2 linked regions of the Elephas maximus indicus genome follow. The protein of the gene in region 2 binds, or shares a complex with, the protein of the main gene of each other region. Links are inferred from orthologs where the notes say so. Each region holds a gene or a part of one and is shown on either strand. Other genes may lie near its edges.

Region 1 (7,648 bases), about 29 Mb from region 2:
GCAGCTCCCAAGAGTGTGGGCTGGAAGAGGTTCATACCCTTCCTCCCTGATGTAATGGCAGCTAGAGGGGCAGTATCACATACACATTTCACTTAGGAGAATTCAACCGTGGACCCTTGAAAAATAAGTAAACTGATAGATATCCTCTCATAGTGTGGACAACTCAGAACTCATTGAGATTCTAGTGCTGAAAGATTTAGGGTTTTCATACAGCTGGTTCCGGAACTCAAGGCTTATGTCACATGGTGTTCAAAGGAACCTTGTTTATCTTTTCTTTTATAGGGCAGAGTAGAACTGTCCCATAGGATTTCCAAGGAGCAGCTGGTGGATTCAAACTGCCAACCTTTTGGTTAACTGCCGAGCTCTTAACCACTGCGCTATTTAAGTCTTCCGCTCTTTTGCACTGATGTAACTTTAAAGGCTAAAATTATATTTTGTATGTATAGCCACACCAAGCCAGTTGCCACTGAGTCGATTCCAACTCATGGCTGTCCCAGCGTTTCAGAGTAGAGCTGCTCTCCATAAGGCTCTCAGTGGCTATGGTCCTTCAGAAGCACATCACTGGGACTTTCTTCCCAGGTGCCTCTGGGCGGATATGAACCACCAATCTTTTGGTTAGCTGCTGAGCGCTTAACCATTTGCACCACCCAGGGACTCCTGTCTTCTATGCATTACTATACGTTACATATTTATACAAACATGTTATCATAAAGGAGTGTATAGGCAAAATCACATATACCATACATTAGGGTAATTCATGGATTTTTGAAGATACTGTGGATTACACAGGACTTCTGCCTTATGTGCTGATTTTTGAATCTGATCCCTACTGGAGACTATAGGAGACTGCAGCTCCACCACAAGGATACCATCCTCCACATGCCTTCTCTGGCATCACACTAATGATAACGATGCTGCCTCGTTCAACATCCCGGCAAAGGACCTGAGAAGTCTAATGGCCTATGCCAACAACGACTGGTCACCTACGTACACCCTCCCTCCTCAGGAGCAGAGCTGCGAAATGAGGCACCCTAGGGCCGTCAAAAGAAGGAGGCTGCCAGGTCTGCTCCTGGCTTTTGATTTCTTTTCCAAAGATAGTTTTGGAATCACACTGGCCAGAAGCGGAAACAACAGGGCCACTTCCCTTCCCCAACACCTCCAGGTCCCCAGCCCAGCAGAGGGCAGGTGGGGACGACCCATTCCATACTGCTGAAAAAGGACCTGTTTGGGTTCAGGCTGCAGTTTTTCAGGCCCTGCCATAAACCCACCCTGAGGAGAGGGCTCTAGAAGTATCCACAGGCCCTCTGCATCCCACAGTTAAGGGTCCTTCAGCAGTCTTGACCAGGCCAAGGATCCCAACTTCCGAAGAACACACAAAATAATTGGTGCAATAATTTCATCCTTTCACAAACTCAGGCAAGGATCAGAATGCCCATTTTTCAGATGACGAAACTGAAATCTTGTGTGAAAGCAAGACAAGATCTGGACTTCCTGTCTCCCAAGGCAAGAGTTTTCCAACTTTTTGGTTACCTTTTAATTTTCATCACAGATTCCACTCAATTCTTTCCCCCCACCTTCTTCTCCCTCCAAATGCCTAAACCTCCTCCACCCCTATCCTTTCCTTTTGCCCCTCCAACTCGATTTCCCTGTCTCTCCCCCCGGGTCTAAACACCTCCTTGAATCCCTGAGACCCTCGAGCTCAAGGTGGCACTTAGTGAAGCATCTTCTCTTTAAAATGCTTTCCTGTAGCTTGGCGCCCCTCCTCCGGGTCCCTCATTCCCCTGCTTCCTCTGCTCGCCTACCCTGCTCAGGCCTTTTGTGACTGGCTCCTCCACTCTCTCCTCCTCCGCCCCCATCACCGAGGGTCCCCTCCTGCACGTAACCCGCTCCAAAGCTTTAGCCTGTGTCCCTCTCACTCTCTCGGAGTCCTCTCCAAAGCTCAGGCCTGAGCCTGCTCTTTGCACCAGTCTCCACCCCACCTCCGCAGCCCCTGGGCCCGCTCCGGCACTTACCCGACCAGAGCAGGAGTTTGCCGTGCGCTTCCTCCTGGGAGTCCGAGTCCCCGGCCAGCAGCGTGGAGGTTGCCCCGTAGGGCAGCGCCGAGCCCAGACACACGTTGTAGCGCAGCGGCTCGCAGGGGGCCGCCCGGCCGCAGTGGCTCAGCAGCCGCGGAGGGCCAGTGGCGGCTGCGCTCCTCCTCGCGCTCCCGCCAGCGCCCCGCGGCCCAGACCCGGTCGCATTCCCGCTCCCGGCCGCCCCCCGGCCCCGGCCCCCCAGCAGCAGCAGCAGCAGCCCCAGGAGCGGGAGCGCTGGCCCCCGCGCGGGCCGGGTAGCGGCCATAGCCAGACCCGCCAGCTCAGCAGAGCCCCGGCGCCCCCGCCCGCTCCCGGAACCCGGGCCACACACGCACGCCTCGGGGCCGCGGGGGCGACTCAAGCGACCTGGGCGCCCCGCGAGCCCGGCGCCGGGCCCCCCCGCACGCAGCGCGCGCCCGGGCCCCTCGGCGCCCAACTTCGCAAACTTCGGGCCCCGCGGCCCATGGCGGGCGTCGGAAGCCGGGCCGCGGTGCGCAGCTCCCTACCCTCGCCCAGCGACCCAAGTCGTCTCAGTCCCGGGGGCCCCCCGGACCCTCAACCTCCAGCACCATCCCCCCTCCCACCATTAAAACCGACTCCCGGCCCCTCGGCGGAGGCCAGGCGCGGGCGGGGTGCGGGCGGCGTCCGGGCTCCGCGCCCGCCCGCGGCCCGGCCGCCACTTCGCCGAGCGCGCGCAGCCCCTCTCCCCGCCGACCACCCGGCTCCTTTGTGTTCTCCTCGCTCGGCTCTGGAATGCACCGGCCTCACGGCCAAGCCCGGCCCCTCCGCGCAGCGGGGGAGGGACTGGCCCGGGAGGAGGAGCGCCGCTCGGCGGCCGTGGCGCCCGGAGGGCCTGGGCTAGGGGGCTCGGAGGGCCCTCCTGCCGCCGCCCGCGCCCTGGGGCCAGAGGCGGGGGGAAATGGTGGCCCAGAGCTGCACCAGACCCAGCGGGCACCTTGACTGCTCGGAGGATCTTTGGACTTGGGCCTCTGCAGAGAGCGGCGTGAGGGGCTGGGTGCTGAAGTCAGTGGGAGCTTCTACCACATCCCCGCCCCCCAGCTCCGGCGGTCTTCCCAGCTTTCGGTTAGATCTTTGGACTCGTCTCTGGGCCCATGGAAGAGTACCAGGGTTGGGGTCTCCGTTTCTGCGGTTCCTTCCCGCTTGAATTGTCTGCTCCTTTCTCGTGACTTGCCTAGGAGATGGCCTCAGGATCACTCAGGAGCTGCCTGGCTGCTGTTACCTGTGGGAGCAGGCTGTGAAAACCAAACGTCCCAACGTCGTCTTTATTGCTACAGACGTGTGAAGTCTGAACCGTGGTTCCCAAAGACCAGCCCTGGCGTGTCTTTGGTTGTGTCCAAAGTAGACCAGTCTATCTCTGATAGCCCTTGCTACTGTCTGTTGGCCAGGGGAGTTTCTGCTCCCCTTACCTCCCCGGATCATCTTGCTCTCCCTCACAGGGCTTGATTTCACATCGAGGCAGTTCACACCCATCACCACACGACGAAGTCCAGAAAAGTGGACTTGCATTAAGCAACTTTCCAGTGTTGCTGACCAGACAGCACACTAAGGTGCCTTTTCCTTTCTTAACCGTGGAAGACTAGCTCATAGCCTAGCTGAGTTGGACTAGCTGTTACGTTTGACCTTTTAAGAGCGAATTAGCTATTACACTTCAGTTACTAGCCTTAATTAGCACGTAAATCTGAGTGAGAGAGAGAGGTTTTAATTCAATTTAGCGAGTCTTTCTGAAAATCTAGTACATAAAAACCAAAAAAAAAAACACTGTGTCAGAGTAAAACTGTTCTCCATAGGGTTTTGGATGACTGATTTTTCTGAAGTAGGCCGCCGACATGTCTTCTGAAGTGGTCTTGAATCTGCAGCCTTTTGGTTAGCTACAGAACAGGTTAACCATTTGTACCACCCAGGAACATAGCACTATGAGAAGCAAGACATTCTTGCAGAACTTGAGAACTTGCATTTTACTGGGGAGACAAGGCTTGCCCTTAGGAAACAGTGCAAAGCAGCAAGGCCTTCCTCTCCGGAGCATCTAGTGCAACACCATATACATATTAAGAACTCAATAAACTGCCAAAATGAGGTGCACAGAGAGTGCGCTACACGAGTTTATAGCAGGGAGAGATCAGTGTGGCTGGTGGAAGCGGAGGAGACGGGTCTTGAGCGATTAGGTGGAGTCAGAAAAGTTGAGAGGAGTCGAGGGGGCATTACATGGGGGGGGAACCATGAATCTAGCTCAGAGCATGATTTGCCTGGCTATCAGGGCATAGCAGGAGATCAGATAAGTAGGGAAACTGGTGAAAAGCCTTGACTGATGCACAGGGGAGTTAAGGCTTACTTCTTTTGGCAATAAGGAAAGGGTGCCAATTTTTGATGAAGAAAGTGTTATGTTTAAGGATGTTAATCAGGTGACATGAAGGTGGTATGAGGGCAAGAGGCTGGAGGAAAGGGGCTATTTGGAGGGAAGTTGATGGCGATTTACGGAAGAAATGGGAATAGACTATGTCATCAGGCATAATATTCTCACTGGAAAAAATAATCTAAAACATCATGACCAACTTCAGTTCTTTTTTTTTTTTTCCTGTAATATAAATGTTGTACATGTCCAAGTTTGAGCCACAGTGAAAGTTGTCTTGGTGTCTCCTACCACTCAGAGGTTTTGCTTTGTGAGCCTTCTCCACTCATTTTCTGTCTAGTTGTTACTGTGGTCACTTTGAAGTATTTTCTGAGTTTTCCATGTATTAGGGAGAAACCTACATGTATGCCAGCAAGCCCTTACTTTTCTGCTTAAAAATGTCAGTAGGTAGTTCCTCCAGTATGAAGACACTACCATTCCTTGTCCAGGCACAGCAGAGATTTCTTGGGAGGTATGTTGTAATAGAGTAAGCAGTTTGCAATCGCAGCTAACCTAAAGGTTGGCTGTTTGAACCTACTCAGCAGTTTCATGAAAGAAAGGCCTGGTAAACTGCTTCTGTAAAGATTACAGCCAAGAAAACCCTATAGAACAGCTCTACTCTGTAACACGTGGGGTTGCCATGAGTCGGGGGCGGACTCCAGCTAACAACAACCTTTTACAGTAAAGATAGAAGAGGGTGAATTGAGGAGATTCTAAAGTGTTGCCTTCCCTTCAGGATATTCTTCCCTTTAGGGTGAGAAAGAGATATCTTTATTTTTCAACTTGGTAGGTGTGAGTACGTCTACACACCAGGCTTCAGCATCCTTTTCTGGGAATCCTGCTGGCCTAGGCAAAGGGAAGCAGGAAGACAGACTGGAAAAATTCTCATAGTCCTGTCATAGGCTATGGGGCCAAGGGGGCCAGGTTCCCATCCATGGTAGCTGCAACAATAGCCATAGATCTGTATCTAAAGTGCCTGTGCTGTTCCCCAGATACAGAAGGAAATGGAAAGAGTCAGGAATCCTGTCTAACCTTAGGTTTGGAAGAGGAAAGAAGTCTTCAGCAGGCACTAGGGAAGACAGAATTTCCTGGTACTTCCTGGATGGCATTCAGGGTTCTGGAAGAGCTCAACCATCCCCTTCTGCAGGCACACTAAGACTGCCAGTGTCTGTTAGAGATTCCTCAGAGCAGCCTGACAGGCTCTTGGCCTCAGCCTGGTGGCCAGCTGGAAAGTGCTCCTTTCCTGAGCCTGAGCACCTCCCACCCAGTTTCTCAAGAGTCTTAGCCCGATCTACGTGTCATGACACAGTCCTTCCGTCAGGACCATGAGAAGCTCTCCTGTGTTGACAATGCATTACAGTACCTGGCTTGCTACAAGTAGCTTCTTGATTTCTGAGTCATCCTCATCAACTGTTTTGGCATTTTGAGGTCGCATACTCAATGATGACTCTTTGTCATTTGCCACTGGGCCCTCCACTCAAAGAGGAAGGACATGAAAGTATCTGTGGGATATCCATGGGTATCCTCAAGATCTTGGTTAGTGGCTTATGGTTCAGATTGTCACACTGGCCAGAATTTGAAGCATAATTGTTGCAGCACTCCAGTTTTCTTTCTTCTTCTAGTGTTTTCTATTTTGCAGCTAAGAGCATCAAGTCAAAGGGAAAGTGTAAAATGGGAAAGGAGCTAGATATGCAACCTCCTGAGAGAGGCAGCATATAGATTTGGAGTTAGAAATCTGAGTTGAGCCTTTCTAGCCAAGTGACTTTGAGCAACTTATTCTGAGCCTCAATTTCTTCCTTTATAAAAATGAAGGCATAACTATTTAGCTATAAGGAGTCTAATAAGGATTAGTATGAAGTAACATGACAAAGAGCTTATTCCTTAGGTGCTTAATAACTGTCACTTTCACTTCCCTTTTCTTCCATCTCCAAGATCCTTCTTATGCTGCCATTTCAGTGGTTCCTGGAAGTCCAACCAGTAGCCAATATGGTAGAAGTGTGGCTGCTGTGAAAGGGCTGTCCTACATCATTCCTGTCTGGAGCTGCACATTATAACATCAGGTGGTTTTAGGTCTTTTCTGGGTAATGACATTCTGTTTTTAATCTATGGAATTAGTTTTCCTCTTCTTGGTAAACAGTACCACCATTTATACAGCTGCACAGGCCAAGAATCTTGGAGTTCTCTCAAGCTGTTCTCTTTCTCTAACATCCCACACCCAACCCATGAGCAAATCCTGTCAGCTCCAACTACTCCTCATCACCTCCTCAGCTGCCACACTGGTCTGAACTACCGTCGTCTCTCACCTAGGTCACTCTAAGAGCTTTCTCACAGAACTCCAGTTTCCCTTGCCCTCCCACAACCTATTCTCCCCAGGCACCAGGGCTATCCTACTAAAATAGAAGTAGAATCATATCATTTCTGTGCTGAAAACTCTCTGATGGCATCTCATTATACTTATAATAAAGTCCAAAGATCTCACCATGGCTTCACCAAGGTCCTGCTGACCTCCTGGGTCTCATTTCCTGCAGCTCCTTTTCTAGCTTGTTTGACCTCCAACATGCTATTCTTTTTGCTGGTCCTTATATACACCAAGCAAGCTTCTGCCTCAGGACTTTTGACTTTTGGCTCACACTCATGTCTCACTTCATTCAGGTCCCTGTTCAAATATCCCTTATCTTAGTTAGCTAGTGCTGCTGTGACAGAAATACCACAAGTAGGTGGCCTTAATGAACAGAAATTTACTTCTCACAGTTTAGGAGGCTAGACATCTGAGTTCAGGGCACCAGCTCTAGGGGAAGGCTCTCTCTCTGTTAGCGCTGAGGGAAAATCCTTGTTTCAGCTTCTCTAGCCCTGTGTTCCTTGGTTCCTTGGTGATCTTCACATGGTATCTGTCTTTCTCCCATTTGTGTTTGCTCATAGCTGTACCTAATCTGTTATTTTTATACCTCAAAAGTCATTAGGTTTAAGACACACCCTACACTAACATGGCCTCATTAATATAACAAAGAAAACCCTATTCCTAAATGAGATTATGTCCCTAAGTATAACCAAAAAAAGAAAACTAAACCTTTTGCTGTCAAGTCAATTGCAACTCATAGTGACCCTGTAGAACAGAGTAGAACTGGCCAATAGAATTTCCAAGGAGTGCATGGTGGATTTGAACTGC
Region 2 (7,782 bases):
TATATGAAAAATAGACAGTATAGAACATGAGTGGAAGCAGAGGGACCAGATAGCAGGCTATTATAATATTCCATAGATACCACAAATGAGAGTATATCAGTGGAGATGGTGATATTTGGCCAAATGCTAGATATAACTGAAGGCAGAGTTAACAGGATTTCCTGTGGGATTAGATACATAAGGCCTGAGGGAAAGAAAGGAATTAAGGATGACTCTAAGATTTTGGTCTGAACAAATGGAAGGAAGAAGTTGCCAATTACTGTATTTTTCTTCCAATGGTACAGGTGCAAGCACAGATAGGCAAAGAGCTAGATTTAATGAGATTTGAAGTTTTTCCTGGTGAATACAATGGTGGGGGTGTTTTGAAGAGAAGATTATCTTGATTGAAGGTGGTAACTAAGTTGGGATAGGAGAGAAATTAGCACATGACATCTGTTGAGGGACAGAGAAAAATGTACAGTTTGTGGATGGAAGGTCTCTGCAGTCTTGAAGAATTGATGGTGATAAGAGAGGGGGCTGGAAAGATTAGAATGGAGGTCAGAGTACGGGGTAGTCATGTTCTTTCCATTGTTCCATAACAATCTCCTTTTCTCCACCTGCATAATACTTGAGAAGAGTCATGGCTAAAATGCAACTATGGCAAATTCCCCCCAAAAATCCTGCTCTCCGTCTACTATCCCGTGTATCTCTCACTCTCCGCAATTAAAACTACTGAGTCTCTTCATTCAGCTTCTGCATTCTCAGTGTTTACACACTCCTTCATTCTACATGGTAAAGCTTCTGTTCACAACAATAGATCAAAGTGCTTTGGTGCATTTGCCAACAATCTCTTCCTGTTGAAATTAAAGACTCACAGGAACTTAGAATTGTTGGGATCGTGCAGATGATCTAATTCAATGCCTACATTTTTCTAGATAGGGATAGTGTAATTAAGGGACATTTAAAGACATGTAATAGACACAGTTTAGAATTGCTCTAAATTCTCCAGTTTACCTACTTACAGCTTCTTTCACCATACCACTATTGCCAATGTTCTTTTTCTTCATACTTGTCCCTGTTGATCTTTTTCTAATGCATTTGAAATCATAAATAGCCATTTTTTTCTTAAACTTCTCCCTCCTTCACTTACGTGCTTATAATTCTTAGTGTCTCCTAGCTTCATCGACATATAAATTAGGCTCACATTTCTATTCATCTCCGATGATTTTAAGATGTATCTGCTTCAGTAGGAAATTAAGCCTTCTAGAAGTATTTTCCAGGTATTTCTACTAGTCCACCAAGGTGGCTTCATATTCACACGAGCACAAACAAGTCTGTTGTCTAAAGTCACTGCCTAATGTCCTTCTGTTTTCCTCTTTTCCAGTGTTCCCTTTTGTCATTGCCACTGGCAATGAAGTTACTTGAGGGAGACTGAGCACTGCCCATAGTGCAGTGCCCATCAGGAGGATGTGACTATCCATGCCCAAAGTACTGTCTTTAGATGGCTTTTAGTGCCTCGGTGCTCAGGTGCCTGAGTCGTGGTACGCTCCACGTAGAGACGATGACCTCCATATCATCTCTGAGCCAGATGTTGCACCCTGTGTATCTGAAGAGCCCTTCTTGTCTCACGAAGTATCTTAGTAGTAATTCTATGAGCTTTTGTTTTTTGACCTTTGCCCAGAATCTCACAGCATGGCTAATGCAAATAGTTTGGGTTTGGTATCTTTATATCTCTAACAGTGTAACAGCACAGATGCCCCTCTATCCTTCCAATTATCCCTAATCTTTCCCCAATCCAAACTCTTCCCTTCTCATTTAGAAAGCAAAAAACTCAAAGCAAACAATAGAGAAGTGTACACATAGCACAACTGCTCCTAATTTAACCAGCCAAAGATGTACTATACACTGCTCTTTTGATCGATGTATGTTTATAGGTCCAGATATAGATATCTATGTCAAAGTCCTAACTCTCTTATATGGTTCCAGTTTATCCCCACACTAATCCACTGACACACCAAGTCAGCATATCTCAAATCCACTCTTCTTACGTTCTTTGGCTTCATTTTGTCAGATGCTAGGACATGCAAGGAAAAGGTTGGAGGCTAGAAGGAGTTTCTGAGTTCTAATCTCAGTTGACACTAATCCCATTTGTCTTCTGAATAACATAGAATCTCAAGGTTGGAAGGGATCTTAAAAGTTATCTCATCTAGCTTTAGACTGTGCCCGGTAAGATATCATACAACCTAAATTTGTACATACTAGTCAAGGATGTTACAAATGTCTCCTTTCAGATGAATTGTACACTGTTCTTCCTTACATCAAGGTAAAATTTGTTTGCTGTAGCTTCTTTCTACTACTTCTAAATCTACCACTTTGGAGACAGAAAGAAAATGTTTATTCCCTCTGATTCATGACATCCCATCAGTTACTTGAAAACAGCTATCATGTCACTTTGTAGCTTCTCTTTCCTACATTACATATTTTCAACTTCTTCAATTATTCCTTATGACAGAGTTCAGAGTTACTTTAAAACCTAGATGTTCTCTGCTGAATGTGTTCCAGTTAGTCTCTTGGCATATGTCTCTGACTCTCTTAATATATGATGCTCAGTATTATTCAGTAATGAAAAGAAATATTGATATATGCTACAACATAGATAAATCCTGAAAACATCATAAGTAAAAGAAGCCAGTCACAAGTGATTACATATTGCATTATTCCATTTCTATGAAATTCCAGAATAGGCAAATCTAGAGACAGAAAGCATAATGGTGTTTGCCTAGGACTGGGGGAGAGGGGTGTAAAATGGGGGCCTGGGGAGTGACAACTAAGGAATGCAGCATTTCTTTTTGGGGTGACAAAGATGTTCTGACATTGATTGTGGCGATGCTTCAACAATTCTGTGAATATACTAAAAGTCACTGAATTGCGTACTTTAAGAGTAAATTATATGGTATGTGAATTATATCTCAATAAAGCTATTTAAAAAAGAAACGTGATGCTTAGAAAGGAAATCAGTACTCTGAAACAAAGTGTTTTCACCTCTAAATCTCAGCTTCACTCTCTCTAAAATGGATGAGTTAATAAACTCTTTACCTTGTTGATAAAGTTGTTGAATCATATTTTGCTACCTCATAATTATGTAAGTTATTAATTAGTTTGAGTGACTTTCATCACCTCATATCTGGATTACTAACACAGTCCACTTGTTGGTAACCCATTTTTTTACACATAGTGGCAAGAGTTTTTTTGAAGCACCTATTCCCCAACTCACTAAGAAGAATATAAGGAACACTTAGTACCCATTGTATCAAGTCCAATTCTTCACCTTTGTATTTAAAGCTCTTTTCCAACTTTGTTCTATACTTCCTACCATTCTTCACAGCCCAGCTAAATTTTAGTTATAAAACACTTGTTCTCTCCTATAGACACTTTGCATATTAACCCTTTTAGCTGGTTATTACTCTCAAACAAAATATACCCCTTGAAACTCCCCACCAATCCCAGTCATCATATCCTTCAAAAGTTCTTTCAAAACTTTCTTCTCTTGGAATTTGCCCTCAGACTGATCACTCTATTACCTGTATCCTCTCAGAAGTTTATATACAGCTAATTTGAAGTTCTTATTCTTTCATTATTATCCTTTAACTCCTAAACTACTTGACAAGATTATCAAATGAGAGAGGTAATGTTTATGATTCTGTTATACCTTCTTTTCTCCAAAACACTTTCTGTAGTCATTTCCACCAGTACTCCGCCATGATTGCTTCATCTTTTGCTGCAACTTTTTGTTAGTCATATGCTCTATCTGGTCCGAAGCTTGCAGGAAAAAAGAATCACAGTAACAGATAATCCAAAATGACTAATACACAAACACTATATCGAAAGTTAACTTCCTTAAGCTTAATTTCAGAGTTACTCATGAACATCAACATTTAGAGTGCCAAGAAATACAAAAAGGTAACTCAAGGCTAATTTTTACAGATGAATTTCAGAAAATAAGACTTCCAGATAGATATCAATTTCTAAGTTTTAGTACATCAATGAAGAAATTTGACTACCAGCCCCATCTTCTAATCAGTCAGCCTTTCCTGTGGTGTGTGTAAGACAAAGATGGAGTGCAACAATGGCAGTTGGGATCACCAGCCTGACAGGGAGAGATCAGGCAGTGAACTTAAGCAATTATATTAGGCACTAGATACTGGGTGAAATGTCTGTCCAGCCCCAAGAGCTCATCTTGCCCAAACCAGTTAGAGCTGGAAGAATGGGGCCATCAAGTACATCAACCCTTCACCATTTTATGAGTGAGGAAGCTAAGGTCTGTTAACAGGAGTGCCATGCCCAATGGCACAGGAGTTATTAACAGGGTCATAAATACTGGTTCAAAATTTGACAAGGAAGTTCACAAGCTGCTCCAGAGGAGGTCTGTTACGGTGTGGAGCAGATTTGTTTGTGTGGGTGTGTTTTATTGCTCTGGTCATTTTTTATACATGCTTTGATTCTTTGTCTCTCATCTTCTCAGATTATGAGGAAATCCTTCAAAATGTTGTTTGTGAAAAAGAAAAGTGATAATGGGTGGAAGAAAAAAGGACATTACAAAGGACGGGAAACTGAAGAAAAGGAGAAAGTTACTGACCCGTTTTCTCCCCGACTTTTCCTGCTCCCCACTGTCCCCATCTCTGGTTCCACCGCGGCTCCGTTCCCTTCCCAGCTGCCTGTTTCCCACGGCCCAGAACGCCACCCGACAGGGGTTCTACATTTTGAAAACCCTTGCGTGGGTGCGGAGCTGGGCATGCTCAAAAGCTCAGGACTGGCTTTGCTCGGCTCTCAACTTTGGCAGCTCTCCCACCGCCACACCGAAAGCGGCAGGTCCGCACAGATCCCTCGGTGTGAGTAAACGGGAAGAAATTATCGCACTCCCTCGGAGGGAGGCGGGTGGCAGAACGCGAGGACCCAGCCTCACCGGGCAGTTCCGCGCTCCTGTGGGCGCTTCCAGGGCGCGGGCTCGGGGGGTGGGGGGTGCCCGGATCTCGGGGACTGCTCGGCGCCGGGGAGCGGCCGGGCACGTCGGGAACGCGGGGGCGCGCCCCTCCGAGGGAGCTCTGTCCGAGGCAGGTGCGCGGGAGCGCGCTCTGGGAGTGGTCCCAGGCTGGCGGGAGGGGCGGGCAGGGGCGGGGCCGCGGCGGCGCGCGGACGCCGAGCTCCGCGGGGCTTGGAGAGGCTGCGGCGCGGCCAGCGGCGGGAGGGTGGCAGCTGCTGCATCTGGAGGCTCCAGATCCCGGGCTTCTGGGCGCTGAGGGGCGCCAGGAGCGGAGCCTGGCCTTGAGGAAAGGCTTTGAAGAGGCCGCCTGCTTCCTTGCAGACACCTTTTTCCTAGATTCCGTTGACGAAGTGGGTGGGGGTGGTGTGGCCCACGTCGGGAGGTATTTGAACTGCCGCATCCAGAAAGAAAGAATTTCCCCGTGTTTGGAGACAGCACATCGGACGTGGAGGGAGCGGCGGTAACCTCTCGCTCTTGGCACAATGGGCTGTACGCTGAGCGCCGAGGACAAGGCGGCGGTGGAGAGGAGTAAGATGATCGACCGGAACCTCCGCGAGGATGGCGAGAAGGCGGCGCGCGAGGTCAAGCTGCTGCTGCTCGGTAAGGGCGGCCAGGCCGGACGCCGGGGTGGGGAGGACGGCCTGGGGGTCCCAGGGGCCGAGGGGGAGCAGGCCGGTGGGCTGGGCGCGGCGCGCCGGGCTGGCTGCTGCCGGGGCTCGGCGTCTTCGAACCCGAAGGGAATGTGTCGAAGCGGCCGATGGCGCGTCTTGTAGCGCCCGAGGGTGGTTTCGGAGAGGGAGGCTGTCCAGGGCGGTGCAGCGCCCAGGGGTGCCCTCCTGTCCCCCGGTCGTCTGCCTCCCATCGCCGTGGAGGGCGAGAACTCGGCCGCGGTGGGGCAGGAGCCTCACTTCATCCGAAGCTTTCGTGTGGCCCCTGCAGGTAGCCAGGGAGCGATTTTAAAGCGGCAGATGGCGCGGAAACCCTTTTCTTTGAAGTTAGCTCAGCCTTGTAAAGATGAGCATTCATGGCAAGAAAATAAGAGTCTCCCTCCCCCGGAGACCTTTCATACCCGGTGTTGTGTCGCGGTTGTGGTTTCACTAGTCCAGAGTGGCACTTTGCGTGAAATCAGTGAACCTTTTGTGGGGCCTTTGGGGTTGAAATGTGTCTTTCCTGTCAACTTCCGATGGCGATTCAGTAAGTGTTACAGGAACACTGATTGTATTTACCTTGCGGAAGGAAATAGGCTGCTCTACGTGCTTTATTTTTCCTACTCCGGGGGCATGGAAACCACCAAAGTTGGGTTACGTTCGCTCCAGTCGTGGATCAGACGGATAAATGAGTGAGGAAAACTGATGTGAAAGGTGCGAAAGGGTCACGCCGACAACAGGATTCTCTCTCCGGCCGCCACGGTTTCTGATAAATGAGGTTTGCCAGGTACAAGCCAGGATTTTGTTTAGTCTTAGTCCTCATAATGAAACGTTACGTGGAGGACTTTTTCCATTGCTAATGGGGGAGAAAATAAAAAAAGAGTAAACCAGGGTTTTGACTCAGGGATATGTTAGGAAGATATTCACAGTTTAAGATGTTTAGTTTTATGAGTTAGGGTTTTCTTTTGTTTCCTTGACTCCCTTGCCCCCACCCCCACCCCACTCTAAGTAGAGACAGGTTTCTCAGAATCTTCATTTGCACTTCCAGCGATTGCTTATATATATATAGACATACATACAGTTATAATAAAAGAGAAATATTGCAGAAACCTGTTTTCAGCAAGCGTCTGTGTCACTGGTTTAATGACTGCAGAAAAAAATGGTGGGTTTTTTTCCCCCATCACTAGCAAGCTTAGAAGCAGCGAACCTGGCATGACTAAAAGTAACTATGATCTGAGTCATTCTGAAAGTAAACTGAAATAACTTTGCATTTCAAAGACCTGAATGTCTTTACCTCCTCCCCACAACATAAACCTTCCTCAATTTATACTGTTTACCTGAGGTTTTGCATTAATACCAAAAAACCAAACCCCGTGCCGTCGAGTCGATTCTGACTCATAGCGACTCTATAGGACAGGGTGGAACTGCACCATAGTTTCCAAGCAGCATCTGGCAGATTCGAACTGCCGACCCTTTGGTTAGCAGCCGTACCACTTAACCACTACGCCACCAGGGTTTCCTTACATTGATAAGAAATACTATATTTTTGACCAGGTCAGTATATTTGCAGTGTACTGAGCACAGAAGAGACACAATTTGCTAAAGAAACACTTCGACTTTTGTGAATTGCATGAGCTTGAGAGTAAAAATAAGACAGGATTAAAAAGTTCCTTTGTTTAGTTTTTGCCCTCCTGCTCTGGTATTATTTTTGTATATTTCATCGTATCTTAGCTTGAGCCAGCCATCCACCATGTTTAAGACAATTGCAAAATGATTCCTCTGGTGGTGGTGGTTTATGCTTTAATGAGATGTCTGTTAGAAAGGGATAGAGTTTATTTTTACTTATATTCAGAATAGACTAGTGTTTCTCAACCTTAGCACTATTGATACTTTGGGCCAGATAATTCTGTGTTGTGAGGGCTCTTCTTACATCATGCAATATTTAGCAGCATCTTTGGCCTCTTATGATTTGGATGCCAGAAGTCTCCCCCTCAGGTTGTGACAACCAAAACTATATCCAGACATTGCCAAACGTTTCCTGGAGGCAAAATCAACCCTGGTTGAGAACATCTGGTCTGCATTAACAAATATAGTTGAGTGTGTGATGTAGAACCA

Evidence for each region. Proteins that work in one complex are often made in the same cells at the same time.
Region 1: the proteins of GNAI1 (region 2) and SMO are in contact, whole or in part, in a cryo-EM structure (PDB 6XBM), measured with the Homo sapiens proteins. The link is inferred for Elephas maximus indicus from reciprocal best matches to the Homo sapiens genes GNAI1 and SMO. Residues at the interface, in NP_002060.4 of Homo sapiens: Glu28, Arg32, Glu33, Lys192, Leu194, Gln333, Phe336, Asp337, Thr340, Asp341, Ile343, Ile344, Asn347, Leu348, Lys349, Asp350, Cys351, Gly352, Leu353, Phe354; in NP_005622.1 of Homo sapiens: Arg261, Pro263, Ala264, Trp339, Ser342, Phe343, Ala345, Leu346, Gly347, Thr348, Thr349, Tyr350, Ser354, His433, Pro434, Gly435, Ser438, Lys440, Ala441, Lys444, Ile445, Glu447, Thr448, Arg451, Trp535.

Annotation. Positions count from the first base shown.
Region 1 is NC_064826.1:20,915,284-20,922,931, forward strand, and holds the start of SMO (smoothened homolog), read right to left. Parts: upstream 3,017-7,648; 5' UTR 2,341-3,016; coding exon 2,013-2,340; intron 1-2,012. UniProt on the Homo sapiens protein: G protein-coupled receptor which associates with the patched protein (PTCH) to transduce hedgehog protein signaling. Binding of sonic hedgehog (SHH) to its receptor patched prevents inhibition of smoothened (SMO) by patched.
Region 2 is NC_064826.1:49,915,565-49,923,346, forward strand, and holds the start of GNAI1 (guanine nucleotide-binding protein G(i) subunit alpha-1), read left to right. Parts: upstream 1-4,776; 5' UTR 4,777-4,868; intron 4,869-5,028; exon of another isoform or gene 5,029-5,094; intron 5,095-5,185; exon of another isoform or gene 5,186-5,455; 5' UTR 5,456-5,502; coding exon 5,503-5,620; intron 5,621-7,782. UniProt on the Homo sapiens protein: Guanine nucleotide-binding proteins (G proteins) function as transducers downstream of G protein-coupled receptors (GPCRs) in numerous signaling cascades.